2 linked regions of the Drosophila melanogaster genome follow. The gene in region 2 interacts genetically with the main gene of each other region. Each region holds a gene or a part of one and is shown on either strand. Other genes may lie near its edges. The genes, in order: wapl and pds5.

Evidence for each region.
Region 1: of pds5 (region 2) and wapl, changing one enhances a phenotype caused by changing the other (phenotypic enhancement), as found in Drosophila melanogaster (one study listed by BioGRID).

The regions. Positions count from the first base shown.
Region 1 is NC_004354.4:2,155,977-2,160,952, forward strand, and holds the start of wapl (wings apart-like), read right to left. Parts: upstream 3,008-4,976; 5' UTR 2,317-3,007; intron 1,538-2,316; 5' UTR 1,457-1,537; coding exon 413-1,456; intron 1-412. Other genes in the region: Cyp4d1 (cytochrome P450 4d1), read right to left, coding at 3,239-3,588, 3,649-4,272, 4,407-4,971. UniProt on the Drosophila melanogaster protein: Has a role in female meiotic chromosome segregation in females; proximal heterochromatin is involved in chromosome pairing during female meiosis.
Region 2 is NT_033778.4:12,026,274-12,034,088, reverse strand, and holds pds5 (precocious dissociation of sisters 5), read right to left. Parts: upstream 6,105-7,815; 5' UTR 5,857-6,104; intron 5,795-5,856; exon of another isoform or gene 5,537-5,794; 5' UTR 5,515-5,536; coding exon 5,434-5,514; intron 5,373-5,433; coding exon 4,987-5,372; intron 4,924-4,986; coding exon 4,716-4,923; intron 4,658-4,715; coding exon 4,489-4,657; intron 4,426-4,488; coding exon 3,684-4,425; intron 3,620-3,683; coding exon 3,356-3,619; intron 3,299-3,355; coding exon 3,205-3,298; intron 3,143-3,204; coding exon 2,297-3,142; intron 2,232-2,296; coding exon 2,095-2,231; intron 2,034-2,094; coding exon 1,954-2,033; intron 1,893-1,953; coding exon 1,627-1,892; intron 1,555-1,626; coding exon 1,264-1,554; intron 1,201-1,263; coding exon 1,108-1,200; 3' UTR 364-1,107; downstream 1-363. Other genes in the region: Mppe (metallophosphoesterase), read left to right, coding at 6,841-6,866, 6,932-7,047, 7,104-7,366, 7,490-7,815.

The sequences.
Region 1 (4,976 bases), on a different chromosome or scaffold from region 2:
TTAACACTGCTTCGCGCGCTGCGCTGCCTTCCCTTTCCCACACACAGTGAGCAGGGAATGGTAGGAGAAAGAGAGGGAAACGGAGAAAGGCGAAGCATTGTTGAGCAAGAGAGAGGTGGCCGGGCGATTAAGTGCGAAAGAGATGGCGGAGCGCGTGTGAGAGAGAGGGAGGGCGATCGCATTTGGGGTACTCGGCAAATAGTTAGGAGTTGGATAACTTTTTCTCTGAGTGAAATGTACCGAGAAACGGAGTGGTGAAAATCAAAAAAGAAGGGGCACCCACTAGTGTGGTGGATATATTAATTTAAATTACTATTAGGTAGGTTACTATTAGGAAATAGAGAGAAGTGGAAGCATAATATTTAGGTCTAGAGTTTAAAATAATTCAAATTCCAGGCAATTCAAAACTCACCTTGGAGATGCGTAGCACGATAGGAGGATGTTCTGGCGTGCGGGAGGCGCTGGGAGGATTTGACGCGCTGCCTGATGCGGAGGGCAGTTGGGACGAGGTGGACGCAGATGCACTTGGCGCTGACGTAGGCGGGGGTAACGACGGCTCCGATCCAGGGCTGCCAAACGTGGAACTGATGAAGGCTTCCGACGAAGCGGCGGCAAGTGTTGCCGTAGCCGCCACTTCAGCCGGTTGGCGCCCCGCTTTGGGAATGATCAGATCCTTGGTGGGCGTGGGATAGCGCTCGTCCTCGTCCACTTCGCGGTAGTTGACAGCCTTGCGGGCGCGTCCCAGTACCCGCGAAGGCGGCGCCTCTGGCTTCAGCTTCTTCTCCTCCTTCGGCTTCTTCTGCTTCTGCTTGCCCGAGGCACTGGACGGTTGCTCCGGCTGCTCTGAGGCGGGATCGCTTAGCCCATCGCCATCTCGATCGGAGGCGCCGTAGAACGCACCAGGCGTCGAGGGCGTGGAGGCTGACGTTGTTGCTGCCTTCTTTTTCGGCGATTTGCGCTTCCGCTCTGCGGAACTGGCGCCCTTGCCCGGCTTCAGCTTCACTCCGCCCGCCTCCTGGGCACCGGAAGTAGGCGTGAGACCACCAGCACCCGCACCCGCCGACGAGAAATGGTCTCGCATGGGTGATGCGCCGGCTCCACAGTGCGGTAGCTGCTGAATGATCTGAGCTATGACCTCCGGCGGAGCTGTATTCCTCGATTTGAAGAACTTTTTCGGCTTCGGCGGCTCCGGAACCGAAACGGACAGGTCGTTGGGATCGTGATCCTGCGTGGAGGCGGGACTCTGGGAGGGACTGGCGGCTGCTGCAGCAGCCGCCGCTGCCGCAGCCATAGGATGGATGGCGGGCAGGGTGTAGGTGCGCGTGGAGGTGAAGCCCATCTTGCCCCACTTGCCAACGGTGCCCACGGAACGGGCGACAGTGGGCCGGTTGGTGTTCTCCTTCTCCTTGCAGAGTGAGTCCAGCGGCACCACGATGTTCTTGCCCCAGCGCGACATCTTCGCTAGCGGTGGTTCCTTTGCTGCTTCTGGTATCCTCTAACTCCGTGTTGCTGACTCTAATCCTTGGTGATGTGGTCACTGGAAATGGAGAAACATTAGTTAACCGGCTTCTTGGCTAGCACACAGCAAACGCATCGCTCATCAAAGTAAAGTTCGGACTTTATCAACATGAATTTTACTACAATACATACAACCATTCGGAAACAGCTGTACAATTCGTTATTTACCATTTCATTATCCTGCAGAGAAACTAGGTAACAGTAAATCGATTTAACATATGTGTATTTGCAGGCCTATTTGGACCAAGAAATGAGCACATGCTGGGGATTATATCGAACCTAGTTGGATTTGGCTGCCCAGATAGGGCCAGATAAGGGCACGGATGACAAGAAACCTAGTTTTATAGCTAGTACCAATCCAAGGATTAGGAATCCAAAACCCGAAAGAGACCCTACTCTCCCTCCGCGGAGGCAGCGAAAAGGTGGTTGGAGGATTCGCAGGACATGGACCACAATGCAGGCCGTGCTCGTCAATCATTAACTATTAATTCATGTTTCGCACTGCGGACAGTTATTGAATTTTACTAAAAGTGAGCGATTTGTTTGGCTGGGCAGAGAGAAGTGCAGCAACAGCAAAACACAACAAACGCGGGCACGTAAGGAGTACGTCGGTGCGAGCGAGAGCACTCGATAGTGCGCGCACACACACGCACACAGGCGATTTCCAATTTTCACACACACACGCACCGAAATCAAATCAAGACCAATTTCCAAAGCAAAGGCCGAAAAACAAACAATTTGTTGCACTTTACTGTCGTAAAAATCGCCAAACGGAATTCACAAAAATCAACAACTCACCTCAGGCGAAACATTTGGCTGCTCTCTTTGTTTTTGTTGTTATCCGTTTGCTGCGTGGATGCATGTGGTTGCGTGTGTGAGTGAGTGTGGTCAAATAAAAAAATCTCTGTTGCTGCTGCAGCGCATATGTATGCGACTGCGTGCGTGTGCATATATATAGGTGTGTGTGTGCGTGGAATGCAATAAAACAAACGATGTTTGCGTTTGCTTTTGCTTATTGGCGCAATTTGATTTGCACGAACTGTGTGCTCGATATTTTAGCGATTACTCGGGGCTCAAGCCACCATCACTCTTATCATTTTCCGCCTGGCCGCTAACTGCAGCGTGTTTTTTGCGTCGCACCACGGGCTTAGTGCTTTTGCCACCACTTTTACTTTACAGCATCATCCCAGAAGCAGTAGCAGCAGCAACAACAACACCCACAAACACACACACAACTAACACCAACACAAACAACAATACGATTATACTGGCCGTTCCGTTCTTCTTCTTGCTGCGAATATTTCTTTGATTTCGCGATTCTCCGCTAAATCGGCGCCAATCGAGAGCGCGTAGTTGTGCAATTTGCAGGGTAAACGAACGCGATCGCGAATTTCAATTTTTGCAATGGCGAAATGCGCGAAAAAGTTTAATTTCTCTGTTTTTCTACACGAGAGAAGAGAAACACTATTTTAGAGCTGGGCTAACGATTCATGAAACTATCGATATGCCGTAGACGATAGCGTAGGACTCACTATCGAAACGTGTGGCGCAAAATTAAGCGAACAGCATTCGCGCTATCGACATTAGTCCTCCCCTAAGCCAGTGTGACCATGACCTTACTGTTCGGCCTTCACTCAAAGCAAAGACTTTGCCGCCAATCGTTCACATTTTTGAATATATTTTAATTGACAAGCGTAAAGATATAATGCGATGTTGTGGTTCAGTAGACTCGCTCCCGCACCTTGAACATCAAGGGTTCCTTGGTACGCAGAATAAGTTCGGCGATCAGCACGGGTGGTTCCGAGGAGTCGCCCACAAAGTCAACCTCGTAGTGCCGGAGCACATTGGCCACGATGGCCTTGATCTCCAGCATGGCGAACTTCTGGCCAATGCAGTTGCGAGGTCCGGCCGAGAACGGAATGTACGCGTACGGATTCAGCTTCTCGGCGGTGGTGACCACATCGAACCGTTCCGGCTTGAAGATATTGGGCTCGCTAAAGAGCTCCTCCCGTCTGCCCAAGTAGAGAGGGGAGATGCCGATATTCGTGCCCGCCGGGATGAGCTTTCCATCTGCATTGGGGAAAGGCAAGTTAAAATTGAGTACTTTACTCCTCTACGCACTGTACTCACTGATCTCGCAGTCCTCGAGAACCTTACGACCCAGCAGCGGTACAGACGGATACATTCGAAGGGTCTCCTTCACGCACAGGTCGACGTAGTGCAGCTGGTTCAGCAGCTCATAGCTCACCGGCGTGCTCTTGTCATTGCCCACCACGGACCGGATCTCCTCAAAGCACTTCTTCTGCGCCTCCGGGTGGGTGGCTATGTTGTAGAAGAAGAACATCAGGGCCGAAGAGGTGGTGTCGTGGCCCTCGAACATGAAGGTGTCCACTTCCTCGCGAATGTCCAAGTTGCTCAGGGGCCGTTCGTCGACGGTCGACTGCAGAAGGATGTCCAGGAAGGCCATCTTTCGCTTGGCGCCCACGTCCGCGTCATCATTGCTGCTCTCCTGGCTGCTTCCTTCGCGGATGAGCTCCTCCCTGCGCTGCACGATGATCTTCTCTGTGAACTGGTGAAGCACGTTCAGGGCCTTCTTCTCCGCCCTCGCCAGTGGGGTCAGCATGTAGGTAAGGTCGAAGCGGTACAGAATGTTGAACATCCGCTTGTGCAGCACCATTGATATGGTCTTCACCGCCTGGACGTACTCGGAGTCTGCATTCGACTGCGCATTGATGGAAACACCCATGGCAGTTTCTGGAATAGAAAAAGGAATGCTATCAAAGCTTTTACAAATAGATACTATGGCCTTACTCAGGCCATACCAAGAGCCCATTCTTCAAAGCACCACCATTTGCTAGATGATAAAAATTAAAGACCTAGATCCCTACCGCAGATCGTGTCCATGGTGCAGAGATTGATCCAGTCGTAGAGGCTAAAGCCGGAGTCGCCGTGCTTCAGGCGATCCTGCTCCATATTCCGGAGCAAATCTCGCGACCCCTTCTCGAAGACCTCAACGAACTGGTCGAGGATCTTGAAGTGGAAGGCGGGCGTGATAATTTTGCGTCGCTTGTGCCACTTCCGACCGCGACTGACCAGCAGACCCTCCTTTAGCCACGGCTCCAGGGCCTTGTATTCACCCGCCTTGTCGTTGAAGCGCAACGTGCCCAGGACGACCTCGACGTCCTTGGGGTTGCCCATGAGCACGTTCAGCTCGGGTCCCAGCCACACCTTGAGCACCTGGTCCTTGGAGTAGGTCTCCATGAACTCGAAAATCTTCTTGACCATCTCGTGCGGCGGCTTGCCGATGAAGTGGTGGCCATGGCCGACCAGCGGCAGCACGGGAGGACCCGGCATGTAGCTGATGAGGTCAATCAGCCGCTTGAATTTTAGATGGTAGAGCAGCAGGCCCACGAAGAGGGCGCTGGCCAGGATTGCGCCGATGACCAGAAACATGTTAC
Region 2 (7,815 bases):
GTTCGAACTGCGCGGCAAAACAACAATCAGTGTCTATTTAACTCGACAATTGTTTGGTTTATTTCACAATAGCACAAAAACAACAAGAAAAACGTCACACCCCCGAAAAAAAACAACGCAGAAAATGCAATTGGAACTAGTGATGGGAGAGTTGATGTTGCACCGTGAACTATCGACGGCCTCTTATCGATAGTTCATTTGTTATCAATATTCAAATTAGTTTTAGCCCTCCTAAGAGCGACTTTGAAATTGAAAAGAAAAAAGTTAGAAACAAAAATTATATTTTAGCCATTTTTTAAACTTACTTTATATTAAAAAAGTACAACATTTTAATAATTTAAACTAAAAGCCCATTTTCGATATCCATTTTAACATTTAAATAATAATCATACGTTTATTTGTAATTTAAAAACCATAATAATTGTTTAATGTACATGTTTTATAGTTTAATGTGTGTATTCATTTTATTTTTATCTTTGTAGTTTTCTTTCCAATTCTTACGCTTTTAGGTTTTCTTTTTGAATGCATTTTGAATGCATACTTGTTGAATTTAACGAGACAATTGTATGTATTATGATGATGTTACATTAACTAAAAATTAACTGCGATCATAGAAAAGTTAATTTTAATTACTTAATAAGGCTCTGTTTACGTTTTCATTACTTTACTTCGTACTTTAACTTATGCGCGATATACTTTCCTTTTTTTATTCGATATACAATAGTCTAAGAATAATGGTAAAATCAATCAATAAATCAAACACTATAAAAGAACAGGATAAAACATTTTAAATGATAAATAATTACTTTTACAGAGTTGCGGTTAACAGATTTTTCGACACTTTTTTCGTTTTTCTTTTTTTGATGTTTGTGTTTTTGGTGTATCTCACAAAATTGATATAGTACATACTGAATGCGAAACTGAACAATCCGAATTCTGGGTGCTTAGTTGTGAGTTGCATGGTGTGGATAAAGGTAGTGTCGGTTTAACAACTATCGTGGTCTTTCCTACGTCTTAAATATTTAGTTAACTTAGGCGCCTAGACTAAACATAACTAAACTAACAAGTATGCGCTCTCTCCACCTCCAATCTGCGCCATCCCAGCCCCTATGATTTGGCTGAAGCGGCTCCTGCGCGCGTTCGTTTGGCCATGGGCTCCGTAGTGTCAGCCGCTCGTATGTTGTCGAACAGATTGTTCTCCTGAAATCAAATTTCACACACTAGTTAGATTCATTCTCAGTATTTTCCAAGGACCTCACTCACCTGCGGATTTTCATCATCCATGATTGACTGTTCCGCCGGTCTCTTTGGAGCCACTGCTGCTCGCGACGTTGTCATTGCTGTTGCGGCAGCTTTGCTCGTGGATTTGGCTCCCAGCGTATACACGTCCAGCGGTATATAGACGTCATTGTTTTGGAAATTCGCAACGGCAGGCTCTTTATAATACATTTCTGGCAAAGCCAGCGGCATGGAAAAGGTGCTCGTGTTGCCATCAAATGGACTGAACTTGGAGTCGATAATGTACATGGCAAGATCGCAGAGCGCCCACATTTTCTGATAACCGAAAAATATATGTATAAATATAATTTAGAAGGGAAAGCCTGGGAAAATGATTGAGTGACATACATAGTTGTCGCGCTTGTCCGACCCCAGACTGAACTCGCGATGCTTTATCAGCTGCAGCAGCTGCTTGTAGAAGCTATGGACAAACGTTTCTCGTTTGGCCATCAGCGGCTCCAGAATGAAACGCAGGCACTTCTCCATCTTGCGCAGCTGTACGTAGTCCTCGTGATTCGTGAAGCGTGGATCGTGGACCAGCACGGGAATAGCGAAAGCCAGCATGTAGTCAGGTAGTATGTGTAATGATTGTGACTCCGTTGAGCTGTCGGGAGCTGGAATAATTTGATTTAATGGTTAAAATACACAATATGATTCCAAAAGTAAAACACCTACATGTCATAGCCACAGTCTTGAGATATTCCCGCCGTTTGTTTACATCCGTTTCTGCATAGTGACGCACAAGGTCTTGCAATCTGTTGAAAATATTTATCAATACTTCTCCGAACGGATCGGATGGTTTCTTGAACTACTCACTTCCTCTCAGTCTCTAGACCAGCCAGCACATACAAGCCCATGAAGTCCAGCGGCAAACAGTTCCTGGGCAAACTTCTGCTTAATCCTTTGTGCAGCTTGCGAGCAAAGATTTCCCGAACTTCTGGCACCGGATCAGCCTACGGGAACACCGAGATAGACATTGAGACTAAGTTCTAAGCACAAGATGAATGTCTCTACTCACCATCAGCTGGGAAAGCTGCAAATACTGCTCAGCGCTGTACTGATCACCTACGCCCTTTTGTTCGCACACTTTGAGCATGGCGCAGGCTGCCCCGAGGCGCAGCCAAGATTTCTCGGCACCGCAAAGACGGTTCTGGCCGAGCAAATCGCCTCGTTGGTTAACAAACGCCGCCAGCATTCGGAATGTTTTCTGGGCAGCGTGCTCATCGGTACGCAATCCCAAAAGCCACCTGGCCATAGCCTTGAGCGCATCCAGCTTACATAGAGTGTCCGGCGGTAGTTTCTCTTGGGCACACCAATCACTGTCCTCTGGCAGTTCGTAGTCTCGCTGCGCAGGAACTTCTTGGATAAGCAGCTCTTTGACAATTCGTCGCGCAATCATATTCTTAATGGGCGTTAGGAAGGCCTGTGGCATATTGTAGGCAATGTGACCCAAGGTCACAATCTTTGTGCGCTGATGCTCACAGTTTGGTGTCAGTTTTAGGCGAAGCGTCTCGATGATCTCGTTGAAAATAGGATGCACTGTTTGTGTAGTTGTGGACGCACTTCCAGCTCCACTTGTTGCTCCATCAGTGGAAGCCGACGACTGGCTGTTTACGAAAATACATCGCACCGCGTGCTTTGCTTGCTTGGGGGTTCCAATAAGTGCGAAGTCCTTGCACACCGGAGCCAGCTCGTCGAGAATAGCCGGTGTAGGGTCGTCAATGAGTGGCTGATAGCGCCCCAGATGAGTTAGTGTCTTTAGCACCAGTGGTGCAACATAATCCTGCTCGTAACTGAGCAGGGAAATTAAATGACGCAGCGAAGTATCGGTGAAGAAATGAGCCGAAAAGACGTATGAAAGCATCTGCAAGTATAAAGCAATCAAATGGATTTCTGTATCATAACTTAAATTATCTCTATACTCACGGCCAACAACTTGAGTCCGCGCTCGCCCGCTTCCTGAGCCGAAATTCCGATCTCTTCACACATGGACCCTTTCTCGATGCATTGTTCAATTAGGCTGAGCAAAAAGATTACCGGATTAAGTCTGGCAAAAGGGCACTTAAAAGCAATTTACCTAATAAGTACGCCAATAGACTCCTTGTCCACCATCACTGATGCCACGCGCTCAATCAGCATCTTAACTGTGTTGTAATACAGATTCGATTGGACGTGGGCGCCAAGCTTTTTCAGGAGAACTCCCATCGTGTCAGCACACTCCCGACAGCTTACGTCGCGTTTAAGGACAATGTTAATGCATCGTAGGAGCTGAGCATCTTTTCGCAGGTTGTTGCTAAACTGGGTTAGGTACTCTGCCGCTTTTAGGGGATCTGGAAGCAGTCTGAAGAAAAAAAAACACATCACTGGTTACAAACTATCAAAAGAAAACTTATTATAGAACCCACTTGGCAATGTTGGCCTGCTTGGCGCTGAGCTGACTAAGTACGCGCGGCGTGAACTCCTTAGAGTGGTGTAGCTTGATCCAATCACTGACCGTATTGCGTGTCTTCATTTGGTTCTTCTGCAGCTCGACGAAAGCCTTGGTGGCATTGGCATCGAGATCGCCTAGCAAATGATATAGCTTCTTCATGCGCTCTTCCGGAGCTAGTTTATAGGGAACCAGGCAGGTGATAAGTAGGCGTTCCACAAGCAGGCGGTCCTCCAAGCCCACTTTGTAGTATCCATGTAGTATCTTGTTCTTAATCCAGTCAACCCTGACCTTAAGGCCAGTGCTTAGATCGTTGGGTTCGCAAATTGCGCGCTTGTAGATGTAGGCCAGACCATTCATCGCATCCCTGCGAATTTTGTACTTCTTATCTAGCGTCCGCTCGCGCACAATTTCTAGTAGATCGGGCGCTTCGAGAACGAGGGTGAAGTCGCGCTTGGCAGTTTCCACAATAGCCATTACCACCTCGTGGCGGACCACTTCGTCAAGATCGTGATTTCGAAGCCGCAATTTCTCGGTGATATCGTGCTGAAGACTTGGGTGATTGAGCAGGAAGTGCATGGATGACTGAACACACTTGATGCGAACTGGTTCGGTGATGTCGCAGAAGCGCCCAAAGAAGATTTTCAACAGGTTGGGGTACTTTTTCGCTAGTTGCGAGTCCTTTTCGGAGAACATACGAGACAAGAGAGTGGTTGCCTCTGTAGTAACGAAAATATGTTTATTAATATGCAAATAGAGGTACATGCTGATAAATTACTCACTTAGCCTCTCAGCATCGTCCGTGGACAGCAGTTTGTTCTCCAGCTGAGGTAGCACTGAACACAACAAGCCTGCATTGATGCGGTTAAGCTCGTAAATGATATCATAGATTTTGTTTGTAATGGACAGTTTTGTGTTTGGCTTATCCATGACCAGAGCACGGTTAAAGAACTGTAGATCAGGGATTAGGTTGAATAACGTGGTGCACCAAAGATCAACGAAATATTACCATTTTGATGGTGGACTCGAGAGCATCGCCCGTTTTAGTGAGAAGTTGTTCTGTTAATTGGCAGGCAAACTTGTTGTTAGATTTGTACGGCTCTACGATGTTAATCAGAATGAGATCCAACAATTCCACCGACAGATTGTCGGCTTCTGTGATCAACGGGCTTAGCACATCTAGAAAAAAGTTAGTCACCTTGACACTGTGCTGGTCACTAGAAAATTATATAACATGTGATTATAAAGAGTTCGCAGGATAAAGGAAGAGCTCGACTTACTTGACAATCTTGAAGATGGTACTAAACAGGTCTTGGAAGATTTCTTGGCAGTCCTCCAGTTCGAAACACATATTAAAAGACTTGACAAAAGCAAGGTTCTCCAGCAGATAGAAGTAACGCTTGAAAGAGGGATCGCGCGGATCCTTCAGACCGTGCAGTTGCTTGATAAAAAACTTAAATATAGTTTTGATTTGATCTTGCTCTTTGTAGGGAGCCTCTGGCGCATAAACCCGCAGGACATCCGCCACGCAGCACGCGATTAAGAGCTGGACATCACGGGATGGATGTTGCATAAAGAAGTCGTCCAGCAGATGGAGGGCCAATGGTATGTATTGCTGGTAGAGATTGTCGTCCTGGTCCATGGTCTGCAGAACATTGGCGAGGGTCTGTAAAACAGAATCATTCTAAGTGAGAAGTTTTGCTAAGGGAACCAGGGGCAGGACTCACCTTGAGGCGCCTTATCAGCTCGTCTGTGCCCAAATCCTCGACCAGCGGCCGGCATCCGGTGGGGTACACTATGTCCGCCATCCTCACCGCCAATGGGAGCTACCTGCAAGCCAGGATTTCAAGGATTCAGTGGCAGGTGCAACAATTCCGTGCGACAGCAACAACAACGAATGCGACCCTCAAAATAACATTGAAAAAGTGGAGGAGGGTGGCATCACGAACACACAAGCACGAAGCTCCACACAAGCACACACACACATGGGCAGCAGCACCACAAGCACACAGAGTGGCCAATATTGTTTGGTTATTTCTTTTTCGCAAACAACAAATAGAGAGCGCCCAAATTGTAGCGCCCTTGCCACTGCAATTTACCCAATGTTTTATATTAAACTGCGGCGCAGTTTTTGGAACTCGGAATCTTACTTTTCACAACGGGCAGGAAGCGGCACAATTTTTTTGCAATTTTGCGAACCCCTGCTTTCGATGACCGCTTAGCGCGCGTCTCCTTCGAATCACTGCACTATGGATGGGATTGATCCTGTCCAGCTATTTACACATGTTCGGTTACAAGAGTCTTTTGCGGTGCTTATGTTGTTAAAAATAAGCAAAAACCAAGGAGCATTTATGTGGAGTGGCACGCCATTAATCCACGCACGAAGCGTTGCCAGAGGTTTTTTGGAAGTGTGGCCAGACTCTTCGCAGATTAGTACATGATTGCATTTCAGCTGATTAGCATTGACGTGTTGTTGGTGCTAGCGAGGAGAGCGGAAGGGGTCGTGTCACGAAATCGGATATATAATCGGAATGAAATCGGGATATAAATAACTTATTAAACTGTATTTATAAATTTACTTAAGAACAACATTTGAGTATCATGTTTGTTTTGCTTTGAGCATTCAGTTAGTGCTAATCACGCGCTCACCTCTAATTTTGTTTGTTGTGCTTGGCAAACAGCTGTAGCGTTGCCACATAGCCGTCGCGGCGCAAGAAGTGCAAACATAGGATAAAGATAATTGCACAATTATTGGCACCTGGAGCCGGCAAACGCTGTAACGGAATTGCCCGCGTTCAAAAGCCAATGGCGCGCATTGGCGAAACATCGGAGGAATGTGGTAATGGACGCAACACAACGTTCCGGCCGTTCTAGATGTTTTGCTTTCTAATCCAATTAAGCGTGTGCGCCCTGAAAGCGATGATGCGGGCCGGTTGTGGTCAGATGTGCGCCGTCCGTTGCAGCAGCTCTACATTCCCGAAAATATGAGCATTCTTACGTAAATATTGCATGGGCAGTGCGTATTTAAATATAGATTGTACATATAGAGACGCAATGTAAGCCAGTTGCATTTGCCAGAGGACAACCGAAAGTATTAATCAAGCAATCCAAACCGATGCGGCATAGCCGGGATTATGGCTTCCTTGCGCGTCGTCAATAGGTGGGTCATAGTTGACGTTACTTTTGTTAACCGAAACTATTTAATCCTTCCATAATCCCCGAAAGAAACAGATTAGTGTGCCGCGGTTTTGTGGCTCTTACGTTGCTGCTGGTCTTCTTCAACGAGTTTATAGTTTACTACATGGCCCAGTCCAGTTGGCAGCCAATCGATTGCAAACTAGGTAAGCCGTAACACAGTTTTTGAGTCGCATCATAACAAGCTATTTTTCCCACATAGATAATTGCACGCGCCTGCTGCTTATTGCTGATCCCCAGATACTGGGAAACTCCTACGATCGATCTTCGCACAGTCCTTTAGCCAGGTACGATTCGGATAGATACCTGGCGAAGACTTTCGAGCGAGCTCTTGCCTTTACACAGCCTCACATCATAGTGTTCCTGGGCGATCTGTTGGACGAAGGCAACATTGCCACGGCTCAAGAGTACAAGCAGTACGTTCAGCGGTTCAGACGAATTTATCAGAATAAGAACTACAAAAAAGTAAGGAGTACTGCTTTTGCTTCACCTTAAATTGTTGTTGCACCTATAATTATTTCAATTTAAAGTTTTTCCAAAGCGATTATACAACTTTGCGAATGGGATTGACCCCTTAAAACCTAACAGTTCCGCATGATCTCTGCCTTTTTTCAGCGCGTCCATGTGCCGGGTGACAATGATATTGGCGGCGAGAATGGCGACTACATATCCAACTCGAACCAAAGACGCTTTGAGAACGAATTCATGAGTGAAGACCTCTTTGACTATGACAATCGATTACGCTTCTTCAAGATAAACCGCATGCTATTGGACTTTAGCAACCCGGATAGGGATAACAATGCGGATCGTCTAAGAATTGGCGTATCCCATGCCCCGCTGCTCATTGGCGGAGGACCCCTGTTGAGAGCCATCATCAGCGACTTGGATCCACATATCATTTTCTCAGGACACTG